3 linked regions of the Drosophila melanogaster genome follow. The protein of the gene in region 2 interacts with the protein of the main gene of each other region in a pairwise test. Each region holds a gene or a part of one and is shown on either strand. Other genes may lie near its edges. The genes, in order: CG15365, CG15483 and CG6287.

Evidence for each region.
Region 1: the proteins of CG15483 (region 2) and CG15365 interact in a two-hybrid assay, tested with the Drosophila melanogaster proteins (one large-scale study listed by BioGRID).
Region 3: the proteins of CG15483 (region 2) and CG6287 interact in a two-hybrid assay, tested with the Drosophila melanogaster proteins (one large-scale study listed by BioGRID).

What each region holds. Positions count from the first base shown.
Region 1 is NC_004354.4:9,064,308-9,069,934, forward strand, and holds the start of CG15365 (uncharacterized protein), read right to left. Parts: upstream 3,677-5,627; 5' UTR 3,201-3,676; intron 1-3,200. Other genes in the region: CG10970 (uncharacterized protein), read right to left, coding at 5,447-5,627.
Region 2 is NT_033779.5:12,759,283-12,764,041, reverse strand, and holds CG15483 (uncharacterized protein), read left to right. Parts: upstream 1-2,201; 5' UTR 2,202-2,249; coding exon 2,250-2,924; intron 2,925-3,037; coding exon 3,038-3,586; 3' UTR 3,587-3,696; downstream 3,697-4,759.
Region 3 is NT_033779.5:11,150,763-11,158,272, forward strand, and holds CG6287 (uncharacterized protein), read right to left. Parts: upstream 4,960-7,510; 5' UTR 4,840-4,959; coding exon 4,756-4,839; intron 4,372-4,755; coding exon 4,321-4,371; intron 2,803-4,320; coding exon 2,648-2,802; intron 1,793-2,647; coding exon 1,573-1,792; intron 1,510-1,572; coding exon 1,377-1,509; intron 1,265-1,376; coding exon 909-1,264; 3' UTR 744-908; downstream 1-743.

The sequences.
Region 1 (5,627 bases), on a different chromosome or scaffold from region 2:
GTATTTGTGATATTTTTGTATGGTTTTGTTCATTTGTCGGCTGGTAGAAAGCAACGAGCGGAGCAGCAGTAACCCGTTTAAGTCTCATGAATAGTTATTCCAACATTAACCGTAACAAAAAATGCTCGGCAACAAAATTAAAAATACCTTTTGCCATGCAAGTTATTAATGAGTTATCTGCCTTGGTAATTGTTATTTTTTTTATTATTATTATTTTTTTTTTTTTTTGCCTTTCTCGCTTTCAAGATATATGTACGTATGTATATACATTTAATTTTTTTTTAAGGGGGGAAATGCAAAAACATGAATTAATGCAGCAAATGAATGGTGAGAAAATCTGTTAGCGAAGTGAGTAATTAAATGCAATGCGATAAGAAGTTCAACTTAATGAATGTGCAGTGAGTGAAAGAGTGAGGATTTACAGTTTGATGGAAGAGGCAAACAAATGTTGTTTAATAGCAGTTGAAACTAATATAATTTATATTTCAGCTAATGAGTGAAGCAAAAAACTGAACACACGCTTTATATTCAAATGAAGTACGCAGTTCACTCAGTGAATTTATGTGAATAAACTCCAAATTGCTTGAGTTTTTGATAGAACAAGATAGAATTGAATCTAAAAAAAAAACACACTTGCACATCTACTTTTGCTGCCAATTTCGCGTTAACTGCCAATTAAGAAGCCATTAAGTGATCTATTGGCTAACTATTGCATACAAAGTGGAAACTATTTGTTTGAATGCATAATGATTGCAACACGATTCAATCAAATGAATCACGATGGATAACTATGTGTAAAATGGGGCTATATAAAAAGCAGATTGTGCGGGCAATAAAACAACAGGAGCGTGACCTTTATTATGAGTAATAGATATTTGTATAACGAGGGTGTAAAATATTTCATTCGAATAAAGGTTAGGTTCATTTATCTATGCTTTATGACATATATTACCTAATTGCGCATACATAATTACAAAAAAAATATATACTTATACCAAAAAGCAAATAACATGAATGTAACGAATATGTTGTTAAATCAATAGTTTTGACCCCATTCCTCAAGCAATTCGGCCCATCAATCATTGTCAATAAACTGAAGTGTTGATTGAGGCCTTAATGAGACACTTTTAATTATTTGCCAAATAATATTGTTTGTAGTTATCCTGTTAACCAAAACTAAGGTTGTACTTCAATTTAATTAAATCTAAACTGTTTTGCCATTACTCTTATTAATTAATACATTTATCGATGCTCTTGTTCAGTTGGATTTCCTCGAAGAAATCGCGATTTTCTCAATGGCCCGCCGGCGTTGATGACCTGAATCTAAGTGGGCATAGCTGGCTGGCTATATGGCTATATGGCGTTGTGGCCACATTCGTGGCCCAGTCGCTCCGAGCCAGCTTCATCTGCACTAAGCCACGTTATCTTCTTTCACTTGAGCTTCACCTACATTGGAAGGCCGAGTGGACGGCGGACGGTATCAAAAGTGATCATAAATCTTTATAACCTGTATGCGCTGGATTTTCACCAACTGGCTTTTTTCTTTCCTTTTATTTGGATGGGGGGTATGTGGTACTCTCTTCTGGGTTCTGTTGTGTGTTTTTTTTTTCACGAAACTAAAAAGTGAATTTCTGCTCTTTAGCCTTCAGCCTCCTCCGCCGACGATCCCCTGTTTTTATGTTATTTTTTTTTTCATTTCTTGTTTTTTTTTTTTTTTTTGTTTTTCATTTTTTCCTGCCAGTTGACGTTTGTGTGTTTTTTTGTGAATTTACTCGTATATATATTTTTTTGCGCGCACTTGGCCTTAATTGCGCATGCGCGCGCACTTTCAATTCCTTTGGGGCTCGCAACAAAGAAAATGAAATAAGACAAAACATAACACAACTAAACAAAATCGTGTGGCAAATTGTGGCCGGGGCAGAAATTAGATTTCAAGCGCGGCGATAATGATGCGGCAGAGTAATAATAATAATTTTTAAAGGGGCCTCGAGGAGGGGCCAAATCCAAACGAAAATTGCTCTCAACCCAAAAGCAGATTGCACAGTGAACAAAAAATCAGGTCTTTGTCAAATATATTATAGAATATTATTCTAAATAAGTAGTATTTCACTTACAAAAACATATTATATTGCCTTCTGTTTACTGCATTCACTAAGGATATTCATAAACTTTATATATGAGTATATTTAAAATAAAGATCGTTTTTTAAGAGGTATCTAGGGGATTGTTAGTGATCTATGTATTTCACTTGCATATTTATTAGAACCACTTTATTTTTCTGCACTTGACATTTCAACATAAAATCGCTGAATTCCGTCGGAACGAATTAGAGATTTTCCAGGTAAAATAAAGCGATTTAAGGCCAAGTGCAACTGGCCAACCCAACCCAGTAAGCAACTCGGCCACTTCGGCGACCATTATCCATTATCCATTATCCATTATCCATTATCCATTCCCCCCGGGTAGAACCCGCAGTTTCGGATAGGTCAAGTATATGCGGCACTTTATGGGCTTTACGAGTGTAAAAAAAAAGCAAAAAAGCAAAAGATTGAGAAGAGAAAAGAGCTCAAAGACAGATACTTGCTTATTTCTAGAGGCTGACCAGAGCATCTTTTTCATCTTTTTTTTTCATATATATATATATATATATGTATATATATCTACTTTTTTCACCAGTTTCGTATATATTTTCGCTGTAGTTTTTGTTTTTTGCCTGTGGGGCCAACAGGTTCGCTGGCAGTTGGGAAAAAGTCAAACGGCTCAATAATCGAAGACGACGGCTCAGAGTTTTTGAGTCCGCGACTCCGAACTTCAGCTCTTTGAGTCCAGATAAATGAGGACAACAACAACAGCGACAACTTTAAAGAGGTTGTGCGTGTGCCTGTGTGTGTGTGAGCCAGCTGGGATAGGCACACTGTGCGAAAAGAGCATGTACTACTTTGTTCTAATCAAGCTAGGCAGGTCGAATTCAAATTGATTTTAGCACGTTTTCAATTTCAAATGCCACATAATAAATATATTATTATGTTTAAATCTTACAATTTTCAACATATTCTATTATTTTCTGTGTACTCCATTCGAATTAAAAAAATCAGCGAAACCAAAATAAACGAAAAATCAGACAGCAACAAGAAAAAAAAAATACGAAAATATTTTAAGCCCAACGAAAGAATAACAAATGAATGGAAATATTTGCTCACCTCTTCCTTTGGTTTTTAGTGCCTTGTAATCGCTGTTGTTGACTCTTCAAATGTGTGTGTTTTTATATTTTGTAAATTTTCTTGGTTTTTTTTTTTTTTTTGATATTTGTTTATTGCTTGCCCGCTTGATGTGGCTGCATTATATTTCAGCTGTTGCCGCTGAAAGCCAACGGAAAGCAGGCAAGTTTTCAAATTTGCACAATGAAATTGATTTTACAACGCGTAAAATTCCACAAATTATGCACGAAATGCGTTTTGAATTGCACTCAGCCACCACACTCGAAAAAAAGGCTGCCATTCACCGCTCGCCGCGAAGCGTAGCCCAAACCCCCCCAAAAAAAAAAAAGAAAAACTAAAAAAAAAAAACCGTTGCACGCCTGCGCTTTTCAAAAATCTTCCCAGTTCGCTTCGAAACTTTCATCCGCAACGTTGGCCCTCCGTCGACGACTTTCGCGTTCCAGCGCTCAAAGCAAACTGAGCTGCAGAGCGTCGGAATTGGAAGCAGCGAACGGCGACTGCGACGCGACTGCGGCGCGCCGGCGATCAGAGATGAGAGCTTAGCTTTTTTCAAAAGCTTATAAAAAAAAGAGTCATCTTCGAAATGACATTCTCATTCGATTGCAAACGTTTATGTGTACGAATTACTTGAAAATTGAAGAATATAACTTGTACTTTAGAGATTCATGCAGTTATTTAACTTGTTGGCTAAGGATTCAATCACTTTCATAAGCATATTTTCCAAAAGATCAATGTATTGTGTACTAAATGTAGTAGCTGTTTCTCATACTCTTTACTTTTTATAACTTATAATTATACTAATTATGCTTCTATTGGTGTTATGACGTACAGTCAGCACTGATTGCTTGCGAATCGGATTGGCAATCATTGTCGCCGTTCTTTCCGGTTTGCTGGCGTTGCCACAGCGCTGCAATTAAGCGGCTAATTCTGATTTTGGATACCGATTCGGATCCAGACTTGGGATTCAAACATATGTATAAACATATATGTTCGCGGCAACCGCATTAGTCCAAGTCGCAGTCGCCGCCTAGGTTAATTTCCCTCAATTTTGTGGCTTTTCGCATATAGGTTCATTGCTTACATTCATAGATACACAGCGAGAAAATTGTATTACTTACAGATAATTCTTTAAAATATTTAATAGTATTTGATATTTAATAGTATAGTATTTAAAATTTAATAGTATTTAATATTTGGTTAGTTTCTTCACTGGAATATATTTGAACCTTAAGATTTCTCAGGAGGAAGGATTTTTATACCAAGGATTTTTTAATTTCCTCTGTGTAAAACACACTTGGCTACCTGTTGCACACACACACACACACACAAATTCTAGTAATGGCCGTCCGCAAATTGACCCATAAAATTGTAACGTTGCTTGAGCCAAGATAGTTTAGCTGTCCATATATCACTGCAGATACACGACACTGGCCTACAAAAGAACACTTTGATAATTCCCCCCGATGTGCAGTGTTGAGATGGTAACGTTTTGTGCTTAGCCGACTAAGATGATCTTCTTAATATAGAAAAACTAAACTTCAAATCTACCACTTCTCACTGGCCTGTTAACCAGTGCTATTTGGTTGAGAAGTCTGGAACTCAGTGAATCGGCAGTTGTATCCGCGAACGCATAAATAACCATCCGTGGCTATATGTTCGCTGTTGTCCAGTGGTACACCTTCATCGTGTCGATCGAGGTGGCGATCAGATTCTTCGATTTGCATGCCAAACAGCCGGGAACATCGCTAGCTTACTACGAGTATATGCATCCGAGGCATGCGATTCGATTTGATATCCGATCGCCGGCGGCGATGGCCACAAGGTTATCCCCTCCCACGGATCATGGACATCATTAGCTCATTCGTCACGATCGCAATGGGTCCTAGAACCAACGATGGAGTACTCGTAAGTGAGAATCCATGGGTCATTTGGAGAATTGCCCAGATCCAGCAATCGCAACAATAATCATTCAATCCACAATGAGCCCATGAAAAGTTTGGCATTTTCATACAGGTTCTTCTCTTTGGGAAATTGCTTGTTGTATAAATCAGCTCTTTAGGAAACTCTTTTGAATTTGTGATTATATAACTGTGTAATTTTTATTTGGAAAATACCTTGTTATATCCATACAACAAAAATATTAGACAAATCATAATGGATAAAACTTTTGATAGCCGTTTTAAACAAAATTATGCATTGGAAATATTTTATTTTGTTTGATCCTTTAATCACTTTAGGTTCACCTTGATTTCGAAGGTCTTGTAGGTGTATTCCTGGATGACTTTCAGATTCTTAATAATGAACTCCTTGATGGCCTGCACGTAATCGGCGGCGGCCAGGATGAGCTTCTTAAAGGCATCGATCACCTTGCCCTCGCCCTCCAGACGACCCTTGAACTTCTCCTCCGAC
Region 2 (4,759 bases):
AATTTTTTTTTTTTTTTTTTTTATATTTATTTATTTAGAAGCGATGAATCAATACAATGCAATAACAGTAACATAACAGCGCAATTAAGATATAAAAGATAAAACCAAACCTCTCACTAATCATGTGAGGACTTACAATACTTTGTCAATGCTTATTATTACTTTTCCTATCATTACCGCTCTCTCTCTCTCTCTCTCTCTCTCTAATTATTTGCTTTATAACTTTTGTAATTTAATAAGATACAGCCTGGACTTTTCATATTCTGATTAACAACTAGGTAGTCCGTATTTTCAGCTGACTTTTGCTTTACGAAACTCTATACACCTGATTCCTCCTTCCTCGCCCTGCCATTTTTTCCTGACATTTTTATGTCCGACGCACAGGTAAATATGATTTCTTTGGGAAAAGCACTTTCACCTTTCTCCCGGGGCCATTGATCCGCCCGGCATCAAAAGTTGCACCCAACTTCGATGCAGTTCTCCCACACATTTTTCCTTTTCTCTATTATAAACTGATTTATTGGTTCATTTCCAGGCGCCCGGATCAAGGACTAATGCCATCTCGGTAAAAGTTGATCGGGACGGGGAGCAAAAGTACTGGTGGAGCAAAGGTAGACAAAGTAAATTAGATTTGGCACTGCCCTGCTGATGATGATGCATGAGACAAGTGAGTTAAGGTTCCAGGTGGAGCTGGAGTCTCAGCCAGGTGCAGCAAGTGGAAACAATAAGAGCAACAGACGGCTAACGTAACTTTAAGCCGATATCAAATCTTTCAATAATTAATATGGCCCACAGCCAGCCAAGCCATAAGGTAGGGTGCACATTGGCGTCGAGCTGGCTGGGCAAACAAACGCCGGCTCATAAATAAACACACACAACGTTTCAGTTGGTAAAGTTTTCCATGGCGGCGCACACACACTGCCCAAAAATCAACATCGCATGCAAATTCATAAGCTTACACCTCGCAAATACCACAGGCAATATTTTAAGCCCACTCAAAAACACTGCATTTACTTACTACTGCTTTATGTTTATGCCACCAATTTAAATGGGCCGCACTTTTCTGCTTTAAAAACAATGAATGGCCTGCAAGGCACTCATCTGCATATTATTGTAAAGCTCAATAACTAAATTCTAAATACTAAATATTTAAAAAAAATATATAAATTATTATAAAATATTGAATATTCTGCAACAATCTACATTTCGTGGCATTGGGTTTTGTTTTACAGTCCCATCATCAACTAGGTTTTTTCTCCAAGTGCTTTACTAGCAGCACACATCAGAACGTGTTCATTTCCGGCTACAGCATTTACCGTGCATATCCTGTGCCGTGTATCCTTGGCCAACTCTCCTTCGACTCGTTGCTGTTGCGTTGTGTCCTGTTGCTGTTGCTGTTGCCTTTGCCAACTGTGGCTGCCAAAGCCGTGCTCCATCGTCGATACAGAAAGCTTTCAGATTTAATTTTAATTAGGTGCTATTGAATTTATAAATTTTTCAGCTGCTGTCGCCGTCCTGCGCCCTTTGTCCTTCGTCCTCCCCCCACCCCCCTCCCATTTTGGCTGCTCCTCCACCGCACACGACGAACTTTGCCAGCCATTTGCAAAAGTTTGCAGGGGATTCCCATCGGAGAGGCCCTGCCTGTTGCCTGACACTAATAACAATAATCGCAAATTGTATTTTCATGAATTTTCAACTCGTAATTACTAATATTTCAATATACATACAAATACATAATCTATATACACAGCACCCCCATTGCGCGCCCAAATGCGAATAGAAGCCAAAACTGGGCGCATAATTAAAATTTGTTGTCCACGGCTGTTGCTGTGAAAAGGGACGTGGGTATGGTTTGGATGGATTTCGTTGCGAGTTTGGGGATTTACCTTTAACAATGAACAATGTACATTAATTTTCCGTATTAATTGTTTATTTGCGCAGCCTGCATATTAAAATGTCTGCTAATCAATAATAAACCCCATTCGCAACAGATTATTTTTCGTTTGGTGGGTTTCGTTTTCATTTGGCTGGGGAAGGGGGTGTCGAGAAGCCTTTTGGGAAAGGTTGGCTTAATTGAGTTTTAAGTGATTCTTTAAGGTTTCAATTAAATAACACTTTAGGGGTTTTCTGCAATGATAGAAAAGTATATTTGTTATGAAATCCAGTTGAATTTCAATCTATTTATCGAGGAAACATAGGTCAAGCCCGAATACAATTTGTGGAAAGCCCAAAAAGAAAATCGTAACAATATGTTTCGAATCTCTGGCCTTCTGAGTTCACTCGTAGTCCTTACTTTTGTTCTGGAAATCAGTTGCCTGGAGAATGGCACCCTGGCCAAGCTGAAAAAGTTTGTGAACTGCGAGTCTAAGGCTTACAAGTCCAGCAATGCGATCTACAAGGATTACTGGGTGCTGGAAAACTATGTAATGGCTGATCACGGCGATATTCCGTGCTATTCGAATGTGACCTACACCACCCATGCGGACTATACGTATCTGGATAATGTGGTGCCGCTCCTGGAACGCTGGCGATCGCCCCTCAGCCTGGCCATATATGCTCCTGGCACGGACTTCGAGCCCACTATACACAGCATTTTGTACCTGCTGCAGTGCCATCCTGGCCACGACCTGGTTCGCCAGCTGTGCAGCATTCATTTGTACTTCGATGTGGAGCACTTGCCCCAGGTGGTTCTGCCACCCGAAACGACTCTAAGGGAGCCAGCCAACTGTAGTGGACCACCGCCATATGAGAATGTCGTTAAAGGGAACATGTACAGGTCTCGAAACACACTGGATTATCCCGTCAATATGGGACGCAACGTTGCACGCCGGGCTTCGCTGACGCACTACGTCCTGGCCTCGGACATCGAGCTCTATCCCACGCCCGGATTGGTGCCCGACTATATGCATTTCCTTGGCCGCCAAGTAAGGTTTATTATTGCACTTTTTGGTTACGATTTGTTTGGCAATATGCCTCTACTTGTACCAATTACCCCGTTTGCTGATGTCAGTTGGCAATAACGATTTCTGAATCACAGGTGATTGGAATTCCAGGACAGCAGCCCACTTCACCGTTGGTCCATGTGCTGCGGATTTTCGAGGTAATGGCCAATGTATCTGTACCGAACACCAAGCCAGAGTTGCAAGAGATGTTGAAGTCGGGCGAAGCTGTGCCATTTCACATGGACATCTGTGAGGCATGCCATAGGGGACCCAACCTGGAGGAGTGGATAAATGCGAGCGTTGTCTCCAAGGAACTGAATGTCTTCAATGTTGGCCACCGCTCGGAAAATAACAACAATTGGGAGCCAATATTTTTGGGCACCGTCGAGGATCCTCCATACGATGAGCGATTAACGTGGGAGGGTCAACGGGACAAGATGACCCAGGCGTATGCCATGTGCGTTCTGGACTACGAGTTCCATATCCTGGACAACGCCTTCCTGGTCCATAAGCCCGGCATCAAACAGCCAGGCAATCGTAAGGAGATCTTCCCTCAAGCCCGCCGAACCAATGGGCTTATCGATAAAAAGATCTCCAGGGAGATGCGGATGATGTACGGTTCTCGGAATGGTTGTGTTATTTAGATGTAATCCTGCTATAAAAAAGTGCTATTTCAAATTCAATGTTTAGTAAAATGTGTGTGTTTACGATTTAGGGAAATACAAATTGTAATAAGTATAGCTTAAGCTAGTTTAATTTACTTTACTTTAATTGTTTCATATAAATCTGCAACTATGAGTAACTTATATGTGTGTGTTTTATATTTAAAGTCATATCTAAGCTCGAACTTTCATTGCTTTTTTTTTAAAAGGGCACTTAAAATTCGCCATCGGTTTTCCGCTTCCGTCAATGTTTGCTTAACTTTTTCTACTGTGCAGTTAACAAAAAAAAATCAACAATCAACTGCAAACGCAACAGCATCAATAGTATAAAATATGAACTGCAAACCTAAATAAATATTTATTATTTGCTGCATTCTACTGCTTGTGTGTGTGTGTGTGCGTTTTATATGCCAGTGAAATTTTTAGCTTAATTGAATATCAATTCGTTTTAAAATGCGCACCATCAAATGGGGGAGTGCGGCGGCAGTTGAAAGAAATCGAATCGGGATTTTTAGAGGCTGATTGGAGAGGAGACCGAAGGGATATGGAATATTTATAGCGCAAATTATTAGCATACAAAATGCAATTGATGCCCTCCAGTGATTAATTAAAATGTTTCCGAGCGCATATAAATTCATATTGTTTATTGCGGTTCATGCACAGACACAATGCACTCGTGTAAGTGCCAACTGCGAGGTCATGCGCCATTTTTGTGGTTCACAGCACTTTGCGTATGACCCAAGTGCCGCGTACCCATCCTGGTCACCTGGCCGGAATCCGCACGCTTTAAGGACCAGCTGTGGTTTAATAACATCGACTCAAGAGCCTAAACTGCAACTAGAAAGCTGCTTGAGTATCTCTAAATTAAACATATTCAATTGAAGGGTAATTGTATAAAATTTGTAAAAATTTGAAAATAATGCATTTAACATCCTCTATTCTCTATAGTTCTTGTTACGAAAGCCTATAAATGGAGACCTGCGGCCTGTTGGGAACCTTATAAAGCCGAAAATATCCTACAACCAACCGCTGGCCAAACATAAATATGCACAAACCATAAAAAACTGACCAGAACTGACCCGTCACAATGACATGGCAACTTGGCGAAACAAAGTGAGACGAAAAGTTTTCGGAAAAGACAAATGACCCCTAAAG
Region 3 (7,510 bases), 1.6 Mb from region 2:
TTGCATTGGAATGAAGACAGGACAAGCGAAAATGGGTCTTGCACTTCCGCAATTGATTTAATACATTTAACATCACTTAATATTTCATTTCACAACCATTTTGTCTCGTTTTCATTTTCCAAAGCTATTTTCACCACATAAATCACGTATATTTGTCATAAATTGCTACAGCTATTCAATAAGTAAACCATTTTCAGCCAGGAAATATTCTTTTATTGCTATTTGCCAATATCTTCCTCATTTCCAGGGAAAAAGAATTCACAGTTCCATATACATTTTTGTCCATTATATGAGCTCCCATTGTGTGATTCTGTTGCAGAATTTATGAATTTCTTCTTTAAATGGAGCGCTTTTCCATTAAGCTGCTGCAATTGAATCAGAATAAGTATCATACTACTGGTCTCTTTTAAATTTGTTAAATTGTTTAAGAATATCAAGTGGTGCCTTTGCCATAAATGAACTTTCACCTGGCAATGTTGGTTCAGTTGAACGTATTCGCACATGCTGAAGATTATGACACACAAAAGTTGGCAGGAAAGTTCACTGAAACTCCGCTTTTCCTTGAATGGCTATATGTAAAATCAACATTAAACTTGCTTTCTGGTAAAAGCCTTGATTTTTTTTTATCAAAATACAAAACGGTAGTACGAAATTCGGAAAACAAGTCAGCTTTCGTCTAAGTCCTTGTAGCATTTCGATACCTTGAAATGGTAACTTTCTAGGAATAATAATATACATATATAAATATTTAGATCTGAGAGTATTTTAAGAAAACTCTTCTTCTTTTTATTTTTACTTGTGTATTTTGGTTTTTACGTTGTTTACATCCCTGGTTGTAAACTTATTTATTTATAAATGCTGAATATCGAATTTAGAATGTGCTGATGGTTGTGAATATTCGATTTGCTTCACTGGTAATGGGCGAGTGCCTCCTTGTTAATAACGCCCGCATAACTGGTGTACTTCGGCGAGGTTCCATTGAGGGCGATGAACTGCTCCGCCACCTCCACGGCAACACGGACCTGCGCCTCCGAAGTGCTCGCGCCCAGATGCGGCGTGGCCACCACCTTGGGATGACTGATGAGGGCCTTGGTGACCGCAGACTTTGGCGGCTCCTCGGGATAAACGTCGAAGGCCGCGCCGGCCACTTTTCCGCTCTCAAGGCCATCGAGCACGGCCTGCTCGTCGATGATGCCGCCCCGGGCCACATTCACCACCTTAACGCCCTGTTTGCACTTGGCCAGTGTCTCCGCCGATATGAGATCTGATGGGATTCAGCAAAGAAATCTATATAGTTTAGCTTGAATTTTATGCATACTGCTGTTAAATGTTAATCTCTTAATCTCTTATAAATATTCTATCAATGCGCGACTTACTTCTGGTGGCTGGGATCAGCGGCGTGTGCACGGTTATGTAGTCCGCCAGTGGCCAAATCTCCTCCAGCGTCATCTTCTCGATGCCCGCCGCCTTGGCCTCAGCCTCCGTGGTGATGGGATCGTAACCAATAATCTGCAAAGCACTCAGAGTTCGATTAAAATTCCAAAATAAGTAAATACCCCATTCAAAACACACCCGCATGCCCCAGGTCTTCATCCGAATGGCGACCTCGCGTCCAATGCGTCCCAATCCGAGAACGGCCAGGGTTTTTCCATACAGCTCTGTGCCGGCATAGAGCTTCCTGTCCCAGCGACCCTCCTTCATGCTCTGACCGGCGGGGACGACGGGACGGGCCAGGGAGCCAATTAGGATGCACGTCAGCTCACAGGCCGAAATGGAATTGCCACCCGGAGTGCTGAAAGCGACGAGAGTTTAGTTAAACATTCCCTAAATGCCTCGCTAGACACTAGCTGTTGCGCTAAGTTGAGCGTTTCTGGTGGGCAAATGGGTGGCGTTTGTTGTGACTAGACAGCATTATGCAAATTCCGCCAAAAAAGAATTGAATGGGAGGTGGGAAATATGGCAATTTTCCAGCTTTCCAGGACATCTGACATGGATGTGGCCAACCCAGCACCCACCACCCACAACCCATAGCCACCCAAACACCCACGCAACTCCATCGACACTCGTCGTCCCTTAATTATGCGTGTCAAACGGCGTCAATTGACCCAAGTCATGGGTATTCTGGGCTGGGATGGCATATCAACTGCCAATCCTGCGATTCGGAATGCGCATAATTATTTGTGAGCTGCGCCATCGGAGATTACACTACGCTGCATACCATAAAACACTGCTAGTTTGAATACCCATGTTTATGATCATTATTGAGATTACCACAATTTTACTGAACAGTAATATTTCCTCGCAATTGATAAATCTGCCATAAAGGGCTACATAAATTCATTTCCGAGAACAACTAATTAATATTTTCGTTCCATAAATTAGAAACTGTTTAAAAATGCAAATAAATGAAATCGGAGCCGAAAATGGATTGAATTGTTTACCAACTTGAACTATAAACAGAATGGTAAAATATCCATGAAATATATTGCATGGCAAGAGCTCTAATTAACCATAAATAAGTACTTTGTACTGTTTGTACTTTCTATATCAGACTTTCAGCTACAAATACAAGTTGGTCTTGTGGCATAGTGTTCGTGGCTACTCTTTTCCCGCCCTGCAATGCACCGGAGGCTTACGGAGCACTTACTTCAGGACAACGACATTTTGCGCTGTGGCTGCGGGAACATCGATGTTGTCAACACCCGCCCCCGCACGGCCAACGACCTTCAGGCTGCCGGATCCGGCGGCCAAAACTTCCGCGGTTATTTTGGTATCCGAACGAACGATGGCTGCGTCGAAATTCTGAAATGCGGTGTAATTTAATAATTAGCAACTGGGTAAATATAAATATTTGTCATCTAATTGCCTAACTCATTTCCCTGGCCATCTGGATGGCATCGATTACTGCTTTCTTCTGGAAACGTGATTGATACCACCTAACACCTGTACTTTATCATAAATAAAAGCAATTCGTCTGGCGTATGTATGTTTCTGGCTAAGATTATTGAACCTCTTGATATTTTCCGGCAATTTGTGATCCTACTGGAAACAATTTATTTAATGTTGAGGCAACATCGTCTGATCGGCCGTTTGATTGATAAGAACTATTGGACCGATAGTAATAAATGGTGATAACAATGTCTGGCCCAATTGTTCACAGCAGATTATTGCCATTTAAAAGGAATAGTTTTTTTTATTTTGTAGAATAAAATCTGAAAGTGCATTTCGAAAAGTGGTTTAAAATGCTGGGCAGTTTAAAATGAACAATAGAGAATAATATAGTCGAGATACTCGACTAGCAGATACCCGTTATTTGGTTTGTGGGAGTGCGAACGAGCGAAATTACAAAAATTCTTTGGTATATCGATAGAAATTGTCAAAATTGTGGGCGTGGTAGTTTGCGTTCAGACGGGCGGACAGAAGGACGGACATACCGACTTGGCCAATGAATCTAATCAATAATATATATATAATACTTTATATGCTTTCCTGCTACCTGTTACATAAATTTCAAAGAATCTAACGGGTATAAAAACCATTTGGTTCAGACTAAATTCTTTTTCTCTCTGCGAACGTGAAAAAAAATTTGTTGTCAAGTACTTATTTTCTGACCCTTGCAATTTGCTTTTATGTTATTCAATAAAATCACCAATTAAAAGTATCCGTCTCTAAATCAAATAAAATTCAAAACATGCATTCGTGCCCATACAGACATGAAGCGGTTTAACTAATTGAGACAAACATGCTTGTCAAAATTTAAAGCTGTTTTCGTGCAAGAGAAAACAAATTTAAATAAATTATGAGAGTAATTGATTTTGATTTGAAGAAGCCACAAAATGTTTTTTTCTAGTTTTTGTTTATTTTATCTTTATAACTGCGGTGAAAATATTCTCTTAGCCATTAACCCAATAAGGCTTAAAGTTTGGAGACAAGGAAAATAAGATTTGTAAAAACATTCTATATTCCATAACAAAGATGATAATGTTAAAAAAAGGGGTCAATTCCTTATCATTAGTTTTAATTTTGTTAAATACAATCTCCATACTGCAGTAGTTTTGAAATATACTTTCGGTTTGATGTGCTTAGATTGCTTAGTTACAGACTAATTGAAATGTTATTATTATGTAACGCCCACGCGTACTATCATATATGTACACACACATATACAATGCACCCATATCTCAGAGCGTTGCACATGTTTTTAACCACACTTGAATCATTCGCAAAGCTTTCATCCCAGCGACTTAACTCGTTCATATACATCTGAACGTGTGTATGTATTTACTTATTTACCTGTACTGAAATCCCTAAGCCACTTACCTTAACTTCCTGACACAGTTCCTCCACGGGGAGCTTTAGTTTGTAGGTAACCTTGTCAAAAAAAAAGAAGGAAAATATATGGTCAACAACGTTGATTAAATTGTGCAATAAATTAAATGCACTTATTTTCTATTTGTCCACTTCTAAGCGCTTTTACATGCTTGCAAATTCACATACAGTGTGTACTCGATAAGTAAAAGCAATCGAATAGCTTAATTTAAATGAATTGCATTGTAGGCATAGACTTTCAAATATTTAATATCTTTTTAGTGTTAGTTTTCGTCGAAAAAACATTTTTTGTGTGGTTATACTTAGTTTAATTATTTGTATTTTTATCCGAGGGCGCACTGTACTTTTGAGCACTTGTATGGGTGTAAGCTTTTGCTTACTCCAACAAATAATCGACTGTCACGTCAGGGGATTGGCGAACCTTACCTTAATCCCATGCTGTTCCAGCAGCTCCACGCAGGATTTGTCCACAGCATCGCAGACCAGCACTTTTCTTATATTGAGGGGCATATTTGGGTGGGTAATGAATACACTGAAAAATCTGGACAACCGGTAGATTGCGTTAATTTTTGCCAATTACTTTCCGCAACTCACGATCTGCGCCGCCGAGCAAACAAATTGAACTGACTTCGAGAGTGGGTTTCTCGGGCCATCGAACCTGACTTCGAATGCCTCTCGCCGGTGCAGTGCGATTGTTGTTTTTTCTGGGTGATAACCAAACCACTGAGAGGATCGGAGAGCGCCACTTGGATCTTAAAGTTCTCTCCTTCTTCTCGCGCGATTTGTTCTTCTTGAGTGTGCGTGTGTGAGTTGTTTTCGATTTTTGCACGCAAAACAACAATTTTAACCCACGGACGACCCTGTGATTAAAAATGATTTAAAAATTTCAGCTTTTGTAAAAAAATATGGCAAGCTTTCTAACTTTAATTGTATTATGCATTTATTTACTTTCTAATAGGGTTCAAAAAAAAGTACTTACCCATATAATCAAACTCACGCCGAATAGATAAGACTGCATTTATTTTTAATATTTTTATTGTATTTGCTTTTATTTGCAATTTAGCTTTCATTTAACTACGTATTTTCCAAAAACATATTGTGAACAACATTTGAATGCGGAAAATGAAAACGAAAACAACAAAATGTCGTCAAGGTGATGGCAGGTATTCATCCTTAACATTAAATTAAAGGAATCTTACAAAGTTGTTAACAAAATAATTAGGTAACAAATTGAAATATCATTAACTATTTACATACAATTTTTGAAAATTGCTGATTGGATTTTAGTTACCGTTTTTCTCATTTTTTACAATATGTATATGTTTTGTATGTATAAAATATTCTATATAAATTGGGAGCGGTGTTGATATTTCCACCAATAGTTCATTTTTATCTTTCCAGGGTATTCGGTGTGGGGATCTTTGGTTAATAATATATTGATTACGGAAATTTCATGCGTGCTCTTGTCAAATTTTCCACCTTCTATTCCAGTTCAATAAGTTATTTAGGCTAAAAAAATAAGGTTTGCTTTTCTTATTTAAGTGGCTTTGAAAAGTAGAGAAGTTATTACCGCTAAATTTAATTATATATAGGCGTATCTTTAAAGTTTCAGTATGCTTGCTATAAAACTTGTTTGTATGTTTGTGTTTTTTTTTTATAGTTTTCAAGAGTGTCAACAAATCGAAATTGCTTGGTTTGGTTTTCATTTGTTTTATTATAATCGGAAATAAGAGTTTATTATTACAAAAAAATTGCTATACTTTTGAAGCAAACCAGTTTTACTTCTTTGCAGACCTCTGTCCGTCTGCTAGAAGGTTATGTAATGGAATATATGAATTTATCAAGTTTAGTTTTCGAAAACTTTCAAAGAACTTGAGTTGAGAAATTTAAGGCATCTTACAAAATATCTTCAACATATTCCTATCAGATCTGATGAAATTTTCATGGCAAAGTTCACCTTTCCGTTACCAGAAAGTATCTAACAATATCTGGGATAATCAGTTATTTTTTAATCAATATTATTTTAATTAGTTTTTGGATTTCACGCTTACAAAATGCCGGCTGATGTATCTTTATCGGTTTAAATTTTGTTAATTATGGCAAGAACATACATACATATTTATATATGCAGCTCTATAAATGTGTGTATCTTTTTTAATATATACCATTATAATATATTGAATTACCAGTTCTGTGAATTATGTGCAATATTCTAACATACACACTTCTCATCAACTGACCATTTAAACTTAAGTTTTCCGCTTGTCCCCTTCTTAGCTGCAAAGGATCGTATCTAGTTTTGTTTTTAACTTTATGCTAGTATTAAAAAGTAATATTTCATTTAGGTTTAGCTAATACATAGATCATTTTGCTTTGCCACTTTTTACAAGAAGTGCTTGTGTATCGTTTGCTGCGTTCCGTTATATATTTAAATTTCAATTTGTTCCTCGTTAAAGCGCCTCCAGTGCCTTGGTCAACCCCATTCAAATTCTCTAGGGGATGGGAGGTGTTCTCCCATCTGACCTTTTAAACCCTCCCTCTCCTGAATGTGGCTAACAATTTCAATTAGGTATCTGTATTTGTCGTGCGCTGTTCAAATTTACTTTCTGAAAATTAGTTATATCACCTTGTATCTCTTATATAAAAAAGTACTAGATTTTTTCTGCGGGCAAATTGCCCGACCTGTCACTAAACTCTGACCCCGTGTTACAGGATTCAGCTGTTGTCCTTGGACAGTAGGATGGGTTCTGTGGGTGTGCTTACAGATCAAAACTAGCTGAACATCGACTCTTACTCGAGGTGGTGGCGATCGATTTGAATGCAGTGCGGTTCATCATTGTTGGGCGCTAGCTCAGTTCGACAACTAATGATCGACAAATTTAGCATGGTGGTTGGAATTGTAAAAGGAGTGCTCGTTCGGAATGGGCCAGATCAACGACTATCGTCTCAACATTACGTGTACAATTCAAAACTTGAACAATAATTTTGACGCATTCGACTTTAGCGATTGGTGGTGGTCAATAATGATCTAATGGGGCGGCGGAAATGCAGAATATCTGGGGTGGAGTGCTGTCGTGTAACTCGATTTGATGGATTTATAAGGCACTGGTAGTTTAAATCGCTATACCTAAACCTGAATCGATTTTCGATCCTTATCCAGGTTGCAGGCCCGTTCGCGGCT